Linked DNA regions of Schizosaccharomyces pombe. The gene in region 1 interacts genetically with each later gene. Each region holds a gene or a part of one and is shown in the gene's direction. Other genes may lie near its edges.

Region 1 (3,834 bases):
CACATATTAGAGCAGTTGTCTGCTAAGGTATTTATATTTAACTATGGATAATGACTTTTCTTTGAGCTATATAAATTTAATGATTAAAATGTTAAAAAGGGATCAGCTAAATTTAAAGTTAAGTTTTTAGTTTAAGTCAATTGGTCCCTCCGTTTCAAATCCCAGTTTTTCCCATAACTGCTTAGGGTTTTCCAAGGAATCAGTAATTAAATGCCATAAATCATAAAACATTTTCTTTCTGTTTGAGAATCCTTTTTTTGCAAAATCGTAGTTTTTATCAGTCTTTTGCATTGCTTCCTTGGAAATTTGTTTAACGGTACCATTTCGAAGAGATTCGAGTTTTGAGCTGGTTTCTTCAATTTCTTTATCAATGCTCTGAATTTTTTCACGAATTTCGGCTGGACTGAGTGAGTTATTTAAAGCTTGTAATTCTTTTAGAGTTAGCATAAAACAAGTGCTGTGTACGCTCAAAACAAATGAACGATACCATCAATAAAACTTTGATCTGTTTTAAATCATGCATATTATGTGAAGTATCATTCTACATTTTAAAGAATAGCATTTATTTACTGACCAATGCATTTCTCTTTGTATAGAGTTTTAACAACTGAAACCTCATCTTTTAGTTCTTGAATTTGCTTCTCCATTTCAGCCAATTCTTCAGGAGTAGCAGCTGCCAAGTCATCTTGAAGACAAACGAACACACTTTGTTTTCCTCAGTAATCGTTAGTAATCTGTTTAACTAATTTTTCAGTACCATATAGTTTCCCATGGATTAGTCCAGTGTCGCGTAGCTGCTCCAATGCTTTCTGCGCGACCTGTTTACTGACAACATTTTTCAAATTAGCACTAACGTCAGCTTTTAACAAAATTGTCAGCTTCGATTTTTTTAATGTATGTTCTTACTTGCAGAATAGGGACGATTCGTTTTTCGTAAATACTCGTAAACAAGTTTTTCAGCTGCGATTGATTAGCTGAATACCAATGCCTTTTGTCAATATTATACCTTCCTCTCCTTTAATAGGTTTCGCTTTTACTTCTTTCGCCTTAGCCATTTGCTACAATTGCGATGTGTGAGGAAAATAGTAAAAGCGCGATGTAGCATCAAACATTTATATATAATATTTACGCGTGGCGGAGACAACGCGTTTTCCCCAAGCCATTCTCCTTTGTTCTTAGCTAAACTAAGGAAGAAAATCCATGAGAAAGGATTTTAACTATTTTACGCACCTATATAAAGTACTCATAACGATGGGTTGAATTGCGCATCGTGTCAATGAAAGAAGGTTGCATAGGATAGTGAGACATTAGTACAAAGAATTCGATTCCTAAAGCTATGCTAGAAATTTTATTAAATTAAATAATTTCCAACCTTGCGAAGGGCTATATTATAGTATGTTTGTACTTTTTTAGCATATTCGGCAACGTCAAAAACACTTCACAAATTGAATGAAACCGATATCGTCGAATACTACGAAGCGCTTTTGAGAAACGTTTAAGCTACACTCTTGATTTTGCATCTAATACCTATTATTAAGTACTGTTCTCTGTAAACATACAAATCTGTTTCCTTTTTAGAAAAGCACAAATTTCCTGTCTGTAAATGCGATAAGTCTTTGAAGACCATTGTGAAAAGATTCAAAACAATGGCCGAATGACTCTTTAAAATACATTCCTTTCTTCAACTAAATCCTTGGTATTTTCTTTCTTTAAAAATCATAATTTTAACAAGAAAATATATGGAGCTAACAGACAAACATCTGAACATTCGCAGAGTAACTTAGTAAACATTAGAAAGGAAGAGCTAACGAGTGTTGTTATGCCATTGCTAGTTTACTATAGGAAAAGTATCATCTGTTTCATGATATTTATATAAACAAAATTATGCAAAACCTGTCTTTTTACAATAATTTAACTTAAATAGTTATATATTTGTTAATGAATACTGAAAATGTTGTCAGGATATATTACATCCTCGACATCACACTACCTTATATGTTTGTTAACTTGTCTTCCGCTTACACCAAAACATGAGTACTGCTTCCAATAGGGTTTCCACACAAATTGTGGATGAACATAAACAATTCAACAATGAATTACCAAAGTTTATGCAAAGCGTAGGACTGTTAGATGCTGGTTTCAACTATCATGTTGTTGCCGTTTTGGGTTCCCAATCTACTGGCAAGAGTAAGTAGATTAAAATCAACTTGAGAGTTCTATATCCAACCAATGTTATAACATCCTTTTAAATTGGATACTTAAAGCTTTCACTGAGCAAATTTGATTAACTCTATGATTAGGTACATTGCTAAATAATTTATTTGGGACTTCATTTTCAGTAATGGATGCTTCCAAAAGGCAACAAACTACTAAAGGTAAATCTATTATTTCTTTTTAATTAAAACATCTGAGCTTGCTGCTAATTTTTGTTAGGTATTTGGTTGTCGAAGGCAAACAATTCGCCTATTCTTGTAATGGATGTAGAAGGCACCGATGGTAGAGAGCGCGGTGAAGATCAGGTAAGATTTTAATGCGAACTAATTTGTTACTATTAGTTACACATTAGTATTTCCTTTACTCATAATTGATCAATATTTTCTTTTGGAGTCATTACTAACCAACCTAGGATTTTGAAAGAAAATCAGCTTTATTTTCCATTTCAACTAGTGAAGTAATTATCGTTAATATGTGGGAAAATCAGGTTGGTCTATACCAAGGCTCAAACATGGCATTACTTAAAACAGTACTAGAAGTCAATTTACAACTTTTTCATAACAAAAAAGAAAGGTGCTTGCTTCAATTTGTTATTCGGGATTTTTTGGGAAATACTTCAATGGAAAATTTAGCAGATACTATTATGACCGATTTGAATAACATTTGGGCATCCCTTTCGAAACCAGAAGGATTCGAAAATTCCGTAATTAATGACTTTTTTGATGTTGGCTTCACTGGTTTACCACATAAGATTTTATGTTCTGATGCTTTCAGTGAAGCTGTTGATAGTTTGCGTGAAAGATTTGTGGATAACAATAATTCTGATTACATATTTAATGTGAGTTATCATAAAAAAATCCCCGCTGATGGTTTTTCTCTTTATACTCGTGAGATATGGGACACCATTGAAAACAACAAGGACCTTGATTTACCTACACAACAGCAATTGCTTGCTCAATATCGTTGCGATGAGATTATTACTGAAGTAATGGAACCTTTTTCTACTGCTTGTACTATTTTACAAAAAGAGTTTTTACCCGGTAATTTATGCAAGGACCTTCCTACCAAGCTCTTAAACATGTTTGAAACTGTTATCGAAGCTTATGATCGACAGGCTAGTAGATACAACGTGCATATCTATCAAAAGAAAAAGCAGGAGCTTATTGCTTCGGTAGATTCTCATCTTTATGTATTTTTCCAAGCCCAGTTGAACGCTCTACACAAGGAGCTTATTAAATCATTTTTTGACGCCTCAAATGAATTTCCCTCTGATACGCCTTTTAAAGAATCATCTTCTATTAAAATTAACGAACTTGTCAACAAAATGCGTGAGGAAGGTGAATCTTTGTCTTTACCACATGTTCACTGGGATGTTGATCCATTTATTCTAAAATTATCGGAAGAGTTAACCCAAAATTCCGAAACGCTTTGTAAGGAAAAGTTGAAAGAGAAGTTGGAAGAGTTGTTTACTGGGTTCGAGTTTGAAGTTTCGGAAGCTGTTGAGGTCGCTTTCCAAAAACTTTCTCATAACGTTTGGGATACGCTTCTCAATGAATTCTTAGCTGCTCAAAATACTACTATTGAAAAAATAAAAAATATTGTTCCTTTTTATGTGGATAT
Region 2 (3,600 bases), 2.2 Mb from region 1:
GTCGGGCGAAAGTGTTTCCTCATGCTATTTTTCCTCTTTCTCCTTTGTCTCTCTACTGTGCTTTACTCTGCCTTGCTTTGCTTTGCCCTGTTCTACCCTCTGAATTTCGATGTAAGGCGGTACAGTGTAATTCGTTGTTTTAAGAATAGAGTTGGAGAATTAATTATTCGTATTCCAAAACAATTACTAATAACTAATGATGTACAATTTTTACGATATGGTTGTTGCGTTTTGACCAGTAGTAGCGCACACAAGGATCGGCATGAGGATCGTCAGCTAAGAAGATAGTGTGTGTATTTGTGAGGGATCGCCAAAAGATAGCAAAGTGGATGGTGTTTAATGATTTTCGTTAAACTTGGTTAGGGGGTTGTGGAAAGAACGCTATTCCCTTATATGTTTGGTGTTTAGCGATTTGAGAATGAATTTGCAACAATTTGATTAGAAAGAGTTTAATCTTTATCATTGTGTTTATTTAGACAGAATGGGTTAGAAATGAATAGTGGGTTAGGTATGAAGAATTGAATGGTTCGTAGAAAGAATGCCGCATAGGTCCAAAACTTGGCAGATATTCAATTTTGAGCGATATAGAGTGGTAAATAAATGAAAAAAAATCAAATAAAAATGAAAAAAAATAAAAATAAAATTGATACCCATAATTTGAAAATGAATAACCATATAAACTAAATTTAAAATAATGAATACTAAGAGTAGAAACACAATTTCATTATCATAAATCTTTATTACAACACCATAAATCCTTCTTCCTTTTTCACAATTATTAGTAATTCAAAAATTCTTGTTCGATTAACTTTCAGCTTTGCACGTTGATTCCCACCAATTTCCTCTTTCCTCATTCACATATCTTCCAACTTGCATCTCTCCAACTTGTCCCCAAAAGACCTATGTGGGCGCCACTCTCCATATACTAACAAATCTCCTTTTTTAATACCTCCAAAGTACTATGTGGGGGCCTCAAACTGCCCTTTTCATTCCAGTATACGATTCTGTTATTGCTCCTTGTATTTTTACTTTTTGTAAATTTGGTTTAGCCATTGCTATTTTATTTAACGAGAGAAGTGCACTTTGGGATCTGTATTGCCTTGCATTGTTTATTTTCAAACTGCCAGAGGACCATAGTGTTGTTTACCGCCCATCCCAGCATTAAATATATCTTCAATCAATTCATTTTTCCGCACAGCTTAAACTTTCGTAGTAAAGTAAAGATTTACAGCTTTTAAATTTCTCCTTCAACGTTTCGCCTTTTTTATCAATCCCATATTTCAAATCTCACTCTTCATTCTCTACTACTTCCAAACCCAACCCGTACAGTAAACAGTTTTACACCTTTATATACTTCATCTATATAACAAGCACATTGATTTGCTGGTCCAACTAATTTTAGCGTTTTTAATCTTGCACTATAGATTTTTCCGGCAACATCATTCTTTCTATTATCATTTCAAACTTGTGTTTACAACACAAAAAAATTTGGACACGCTGGGGATTGAACCCAGGACGACTCGCATGCAAAGCGAGCATGCTACCACTGCATCACATGCCCAGACTTGAAATACACAATTACTTAGTAATAGATATAGCCCTCTTTTTTAAACTCCTTACTAGCGAGTTTTTAATATTCTCTTCGCAAACAACGCTTCACGTTTCTCTTGTTTCGCTCGTTTCATCAATATATTTGTAATTGATGGCGGATAAGGATGCGCAAGATTTTTTAAAGTTCCTTAAAAGTAATGGTATGAAATTCTAAAGCTTTCATCTATATACTGACAAATTAGCATCCACCGATGAAAAGACGAGATGTCTAGATACCCTTCGCTCTTTCTTTAATAAAAACAACATTCCCGTAAGTTTTTTATTTCAAGGAAGTTTATTCTTTAGTTTTCGAAAATTTCATATCATTTACTAATGCTTTTTTGCCGTAGAATGCAGATCTCGGTTTGTTCGTGGAATGCTTCAGACTTGCTTTAACTACCGTCAACCCTTTACTCCTTAGATCTTCTGTTGCATGCTTTGAAACTTTTTTACGCCGTTTACGTGCCCAATATCCTACATGGTTAAAGTTTCGCGTACCTATGCTAAAAAATCTTGTCATCGATCACATAGCCTCTCGCGATTTACAAAAGCGTGTTCTTAATATCTTAATTGACTTATGGCACTTTAACCCATCTGAAATTGAGAAGAGTCTTATACATCTTTCAACAACAAGTAAAAGTGCCGAAACCAGAATTCAGTGTTTCAAATGGTTCGTCCTTGCACATAATGCTCATCTCAGTTTTGACGTAAAATCTTTGCGTCCCGCTCTTTATATAAACCTAGAAAATGCCAACCCTTCTGTACGAGAGGAGGCGAAAGAAGTTTTGTTACTGATTTACAAAAATCTATCTACTTCAGCTAAAATGCAATTTATAACCGATGTTGAAACTACCTCGGGTCTTCGAAGGGAGATCTTACAAAGCTTAGTGGAAGAGCTGTCTCTCATATCGTCTTCCTCCGAAGTAATAATAGTTCAAAATTCAGCATCTTCGTTTCAGCCCGCACCCTTCATGACAGCCGTAGCTACTCTTTACCCTGGAGTAGAGTTGGAGAATGTAAAGCCATTGTTGGCAAATTTTTCCAAACAACTTGAACAAGATAGTGCTTCTATGCTTCCTGCCTTTGAAGGTCGTGAGACTGAACAAAATTGGTCGGTCAGGCAGGATTCAGTTTTGCGACTTCGTCAATATCTAAGGGGAAATGCATGTATTGATTATCTTCCAGAACTACTTTCAGTTCTTAAAACTCTTTTGCCTGGAATTTTGTTGGCTTTGTTGTCATTGCGTACAACTCTAAGTTCTTCTGCCATACAACTGATAAAAGAGATGGCCATCATATTAAAAAGCAACATTGATCCCTTTTTAGAACTTATTCTACCAAACCTATTAAAAGTTTGCTCAGTTACGAAAAAACTTGCATCTCAAGCCGCTAATGTAACATTTGCTGCCATTCTTGTAAATTGTGGAGTCTTGTCGCGAAATTTATCCTTTATCTCTTTAGCAGCTCATGATACAAATGCTCAACTTCGCGTTTTCTCAAGTAATTGGATTTTTATGTTGATATCCTTATCTCCCGAGTTAAAGAACCTTGCATCTTTGCAAACTAATTTGAAAGCTTTTGAAAAACTGATTTGTCGCGGACTTGCTGACTCCAATTCTCAAGTACGGGAAGTTTATCGAAAATCGTTTTGGAAGCTTTCTGAATATTTTCCTTCCGTTCAAGAAGAGTTGACTAACACTCTTGAACCTTCTGTGTTAAAACAATTACATTTGGCGAACCCTAATCGTCAAGCTGCTTCTTTTAATTTTAGTGGTCCTAAGCGTGCACCAATACGTCCTTTGTCAAATTTGCGCTCGTTCAGTAAGTCTCAAAAGGAAGAAACTTCTTCTAATTCTTCTAATTCATCCGGAACTCGAAGATTAGGTCTTCCTCAAAGAGCAACTCCTGCCTCAAGAGAGAGGGTTCTTCCATACACTCGTTCTCAGGCATTTCATTCTACTAGCTTACCACCCTCTTTACCCTCTGGTCATTCACCATCTATAGCCATAC
Region 3 (3,834 bases), on another chromosome or scaffold:
GACTCTTCCAATTGCTGATTATGAACTGAAAGCTCTTGTAATTGCTGCTCGGCAGCCGCAAGTTCCTTACACTTCGTTTCAAGCTGTTCGCGGGAATCCGCAAAGAGTTTTTCAAGGTTTGTAAGATTGGTATCCTTCATTTGCAAAGCTTGATTTGAGACCATTACTTCATGATTCTTTTCACTTAAAGCTTGATCATTCTTTTCTATCTGGGTTTTCAACTCTGCAATCTCTTTCCATTTTGCATCAAGTAGTTCATGGATCTTCACCTGAGTGGCTTCCTTTTCATTTCTTACTTCTTCTATTTCTTTTTGATAAGAAGTAGACTGCTCCTCCAGTTGCTTTTCAACTAGAGTTAGACGCAGCTGTAACGAATTCTTCTGTTCATGTTCTTCTGCAAGTTTTCTTTGCAACTCAATTTGTTCACGCTCAAATTCCAGTTCCTTCCGCTTTAAATCATTTTTTAGGTTTTCTAGTTGAAATTCTAAAGAAGCTAGTTTGGGATTTTTTGTTTCTACAGGGTGTCAGATCCATAAACAAACGTCAAATATAAGTTTCACATACCATTAGCAGAATTAACAGAAGGCTTCTTCAAATTTGGTTTCTTAACGCTTGTTGCTAGAAATCTAGGCAACTGTGAACGCGATTGGAACGGATCCCTAGGAGAATCCGCCATGGATGTAGTCGCTTGATACACTGTCAGCTTGGAGCTCATAGTGAGAAATTGATTTTTGGTATACCTCTTTAATATAATATTGACAATATGGAGGACAAATTGCATCTCAGTAATTTATTGAAATCAGGGAATTAAAGAAAGGTAGGACTGACTGCATATGCTCAAACAACATACTTGTTTAATGATATCTAAATTAATGGAACTTATTACTTTTTCTTTTTTTTTAAATCATAGACCTTGTTATTATTATATTATATATTTAATGTGTTGAATTCCTTAATCAATTTTCGATGCACGTGTGAACATAAAAGCTTTTAAGTCTTCTAGTTTTTTTATATTGATATTATTATTATTTATTTAAATTGCTAGACCAAATCGCGTACCCTAAGGAACTTACGTAGTCTTAACATAAATTATAATAGTTTTTTTTTTTTTTTTTTTTTTTTTTTTTAATAAAACTTCAATTTGAACAATTAACCAATAACTGAAAATAAACCTGATTTTGAGCAGACTTATTATTATTAAATAAAAATTATTACTTCTAGTTCATCAACTAAAGAATAATGGTTTTCGCATTTAATTTTCAAAATTGCTTGGCAATGATATAAGCTCTAAAATGGTTTCAGTTTCTTTTAGGAATTTTATTAGCATACATATTCAAGTTATCATTTTACTTTTTAATAGAAACTTTCGCGTACTTGAGAATTGTCTTTATATTTTCAATTAATTCTCCCATATTTGACAACAAAAAGCGAAACGTAAGAGCTCACAATAGCATCTAAAGTTTCGTAAAGTAGCGAAATCCACGTTGCGCTATTCTGAAGGTTCAGTGACTTATAAATGATTCTGCATTGGCTGTATGTCGATGCAGTTATTAATTCTCTTAATATATCATCTAAAGAATATTTACATCTAAAGCCATATAGTGTATAACCCATTCGTTTTGATACTGAGTCATCCTGCGAATCACTTTCAAAGCTATGCTATTCATCTAGGAAGTCGAGCTCTTATATTGGCAGTGATAAATAAATAAATTTTTTCCAACTGATGAAGGAAATAAATCGGTTTCTTTTGGGACTCTCAGGAAGTCATTCATTCTATTAATTTTGACTTTAGCTCATAATGTTTACGGAATAAGGAGGAATAGTGCAACGATAAAAAAATAGTGAGCTATATGCGAGAACATTCCTTGCCTCGCATATACCGATTCCTTGCATCACGGCCGGTATCGCTATTTTTTTTTTACCCATTAGAAATACCTTTAGATTGGAAAACACTACTGAGCGAATACTCATCCAATGTCGACTAAATTGACGTGGTCGCAATGGTCCAAAAAGCATGAAATTCCCCGTAAAGCACTCCATACTTCTATTGGTAAGTTGTTTTTATGACTTGGATTAACCGGGTCTAGGATTTTTTGCTCTATTACTTCAGGGATGTGGATACCACGCTGCTCAAATCATACCGGTTATAGAAATTGGATTCATACCTGCATTTACTGGAGATGTAATTCGTTTTAACTGGCCAGCTTTCAGCCGCCTTTACAATCGCGTTATTGGTCCTTTGATGCGAGAGTCCGAAAAAAATGCATGGAATGGTGTTATTTTTTATATGATCGGGGTATGGATTGTTTTAAAAGTTTTTCCAGAGGTAAGTAAAAGTCATTGTAATGTCTATCATTACTGTTATTATTCTTTAAGAAAAAGGAAGATATGGTTTTCCTTGTTCCAGGCGATCCGAAGGGTTTTGTTTTTTACTGGACATACTACTCTATAGAACCCATTTTTTCACGGAGAATGATTTTCTATTCTAAGTATTTGTCAGACCAAGCATATTGTTGTTGCATAGAGTTTAAGTTAGTATTTTTGATCATGATTACTCAAATCTACTTTGCCTTGCTTGATCTTTTCCTAACTTCACCTTCCTTCTTCTTTTACTTATATATTATGCCATAGTTACTAACTAAGTTCAGGAGATAGCAGTAATGAGTGTCCTTTTACTGTCATGGTGTGACACTACTGCCTCAACCGTTGGTCGAAAATGGGGCAAGTATACCCCGAAAATTGCCAAAAATAAGAGTTTGGCTGGAAGTTTGGGCGCATTCGTTTGTGGTGTTTTTTGTTGCTATGTGTACTGGGGCTTGTTTCGTACCGGTCCTGACAGCTTGGCCGCTCAAAGCAGAATTCCTTTCCCTTGGCTTTGCTTGATAAATGGATTTATTGGTGCCTTTGCAGAAGCTATGGATGTGTGGGGTCTTGACGATAACCTTGTAATTCCTGTCGTTTCTGCCTGTTTACTATATTTAATCATGTGATAACCATGTTCTTTTATACTGACATTCTTTTGTTTTTTCCATTCGTCCTTTCCCGACCACGTTTGAAAAATTATTGAATATAGTTATGTTTTGTTGATTCGCTCCTCCATTTATCACCATTTCTATTGTTCATCTTTTTTCCGTCTAACCAGTATGCGTACATACTGTTAAAATGTATAGAAATACCTACAAGCTTCATTACCCAGACAATTTTAGGCTTTTTGTATGAAACATGACGAAATCGTGCAATTAGACTGCCTATATAGTTTCTACATAGCTTGTACATATATAATGGTCGTGAAGAACCTTATATTTAGCAGTTTTACACTAGAGATTAGCTAAGTTGAAATTAGTTTTAGGAAATTAGCTTGATAATCATTTTGTCAACTCAAAGTAAATAATAATTATTTCCAATGTAACTGTCTAAAGTTAAAGTAAAGAAAAAGGACAATTGATAGTATCAAAAAAAATCGGATAGTCTTAAGCCAACTAGATCAAAACAAATTAAATAATATGAACAACGTACAGTTAAACCCAAACTTGATTGTGGTCATACAGTATTGAAATACTCTCACCATTGTGTATGCGACGAATTGCCTCCGCAAAGGTAGGAGCGACATCGATTATGTCAAAACATCCACTTGGTGTAATAGTTTGAGGAGCGGTGTTTGTAACAATAAGCTTGTCAATGCAAGAAAGTTTTACACGCTCAATAGCATCTCCTGATAAAACACAGTGAGTGACGAGAGCATAGATTTTGCTAGCTCCATGTTCTTTGACAAACTCTGCTGCTCGAACTAGTGTGTAAGCGGTATCAATAAGATCGTCGATGAGGATGGCGACT

The links.
Region 2: mutations in sey1 (region 1) and peg1 together harm fitness more than expected from each alone (negative genetic interaction), as found in Schizosaccharomyces pombe (one large-scale study listed by BioGRID).
Region 3: mutations in sey1 (region 1) and ptp4 together harm fitness more than expected from each alone (negative genetic interaction), as found in Schizosaccharomyces pombe (one large-scale study listed by BioGRID).

The regions. Positions count from the first base shown.
Region 1 is NC_003424.3:974,930-978,763, reverse strand, and holds the start of sey1 (GTP-binding protein Sey1), read left to right. Parts: upstream 1-2,025; 5' UTR 2,026-2,030; coding exon 2,031-2,187; exon of another isoform or gene 2,188-2,229; intron 2,230-2,300; coding exon 2,301-2,375; intron 2,376-2,433; coding exon 2,434-2,519; intron 2,520-2,626; coding exon 2,627-3,834. Other genes in the region: meu13 (homologous-pairing protein 2), read right to left, coding at 127-431, 575-715, 758-859, 907-960, 1,007-1,055.
Region 2 is NC_003424.3:3,155,391-3,158,990, reverse strand, and holds the start of peg1 (CLASP family microtubule-associated protein), read left to right. Parts: upstream 1-1,658; 5' UTR 1,659-1,702; coding exon 1,703-1,751; intron 1,752-1,793; coding exon 1,794-1,861; intron 1,862-1,940; coding exon 1,941-3,600. UniProt on the Schizosaccharomyces pombe protein: Microtubule binding protein that regulates the stability of dynamic microtubules. Required for mitotic spindle formation.
Region 3 is NC_003423.3:1,276,384-1,280,217, forward strand, and holds ptp4 (phosphatidate cytidylyltransferase Ptp4), read left to right. Parts: upstream 1-1,961; 5' UTR 1,962-1,974; coding exon 1,975-2,050; intron 2,051-2,087; coding exon 2,088-2,326; intron 2,327-2,648; coding exon 2,649-2,990; 3' UTR 2,991-3,416; downstream 3,417-3,834. Other genes in the region: mitotic spindle checkpoint protein Mad1, read right to left, coding at 1-514, 565-676; ribose-phosphate pyrophosphokinase Prs5, read right to left, coding at 3,519-3,834. UniProt on the Schizosaccharomyces pombe protein: CTP-dependent diacylglycerol kinase that catalyzes the phosphorylation of diacylglycerol (DAG) to phosphatidate (PA). Controls phosphatidate levels at the nuclear envelope. Counteracts the activity of PA phosphatase ned1.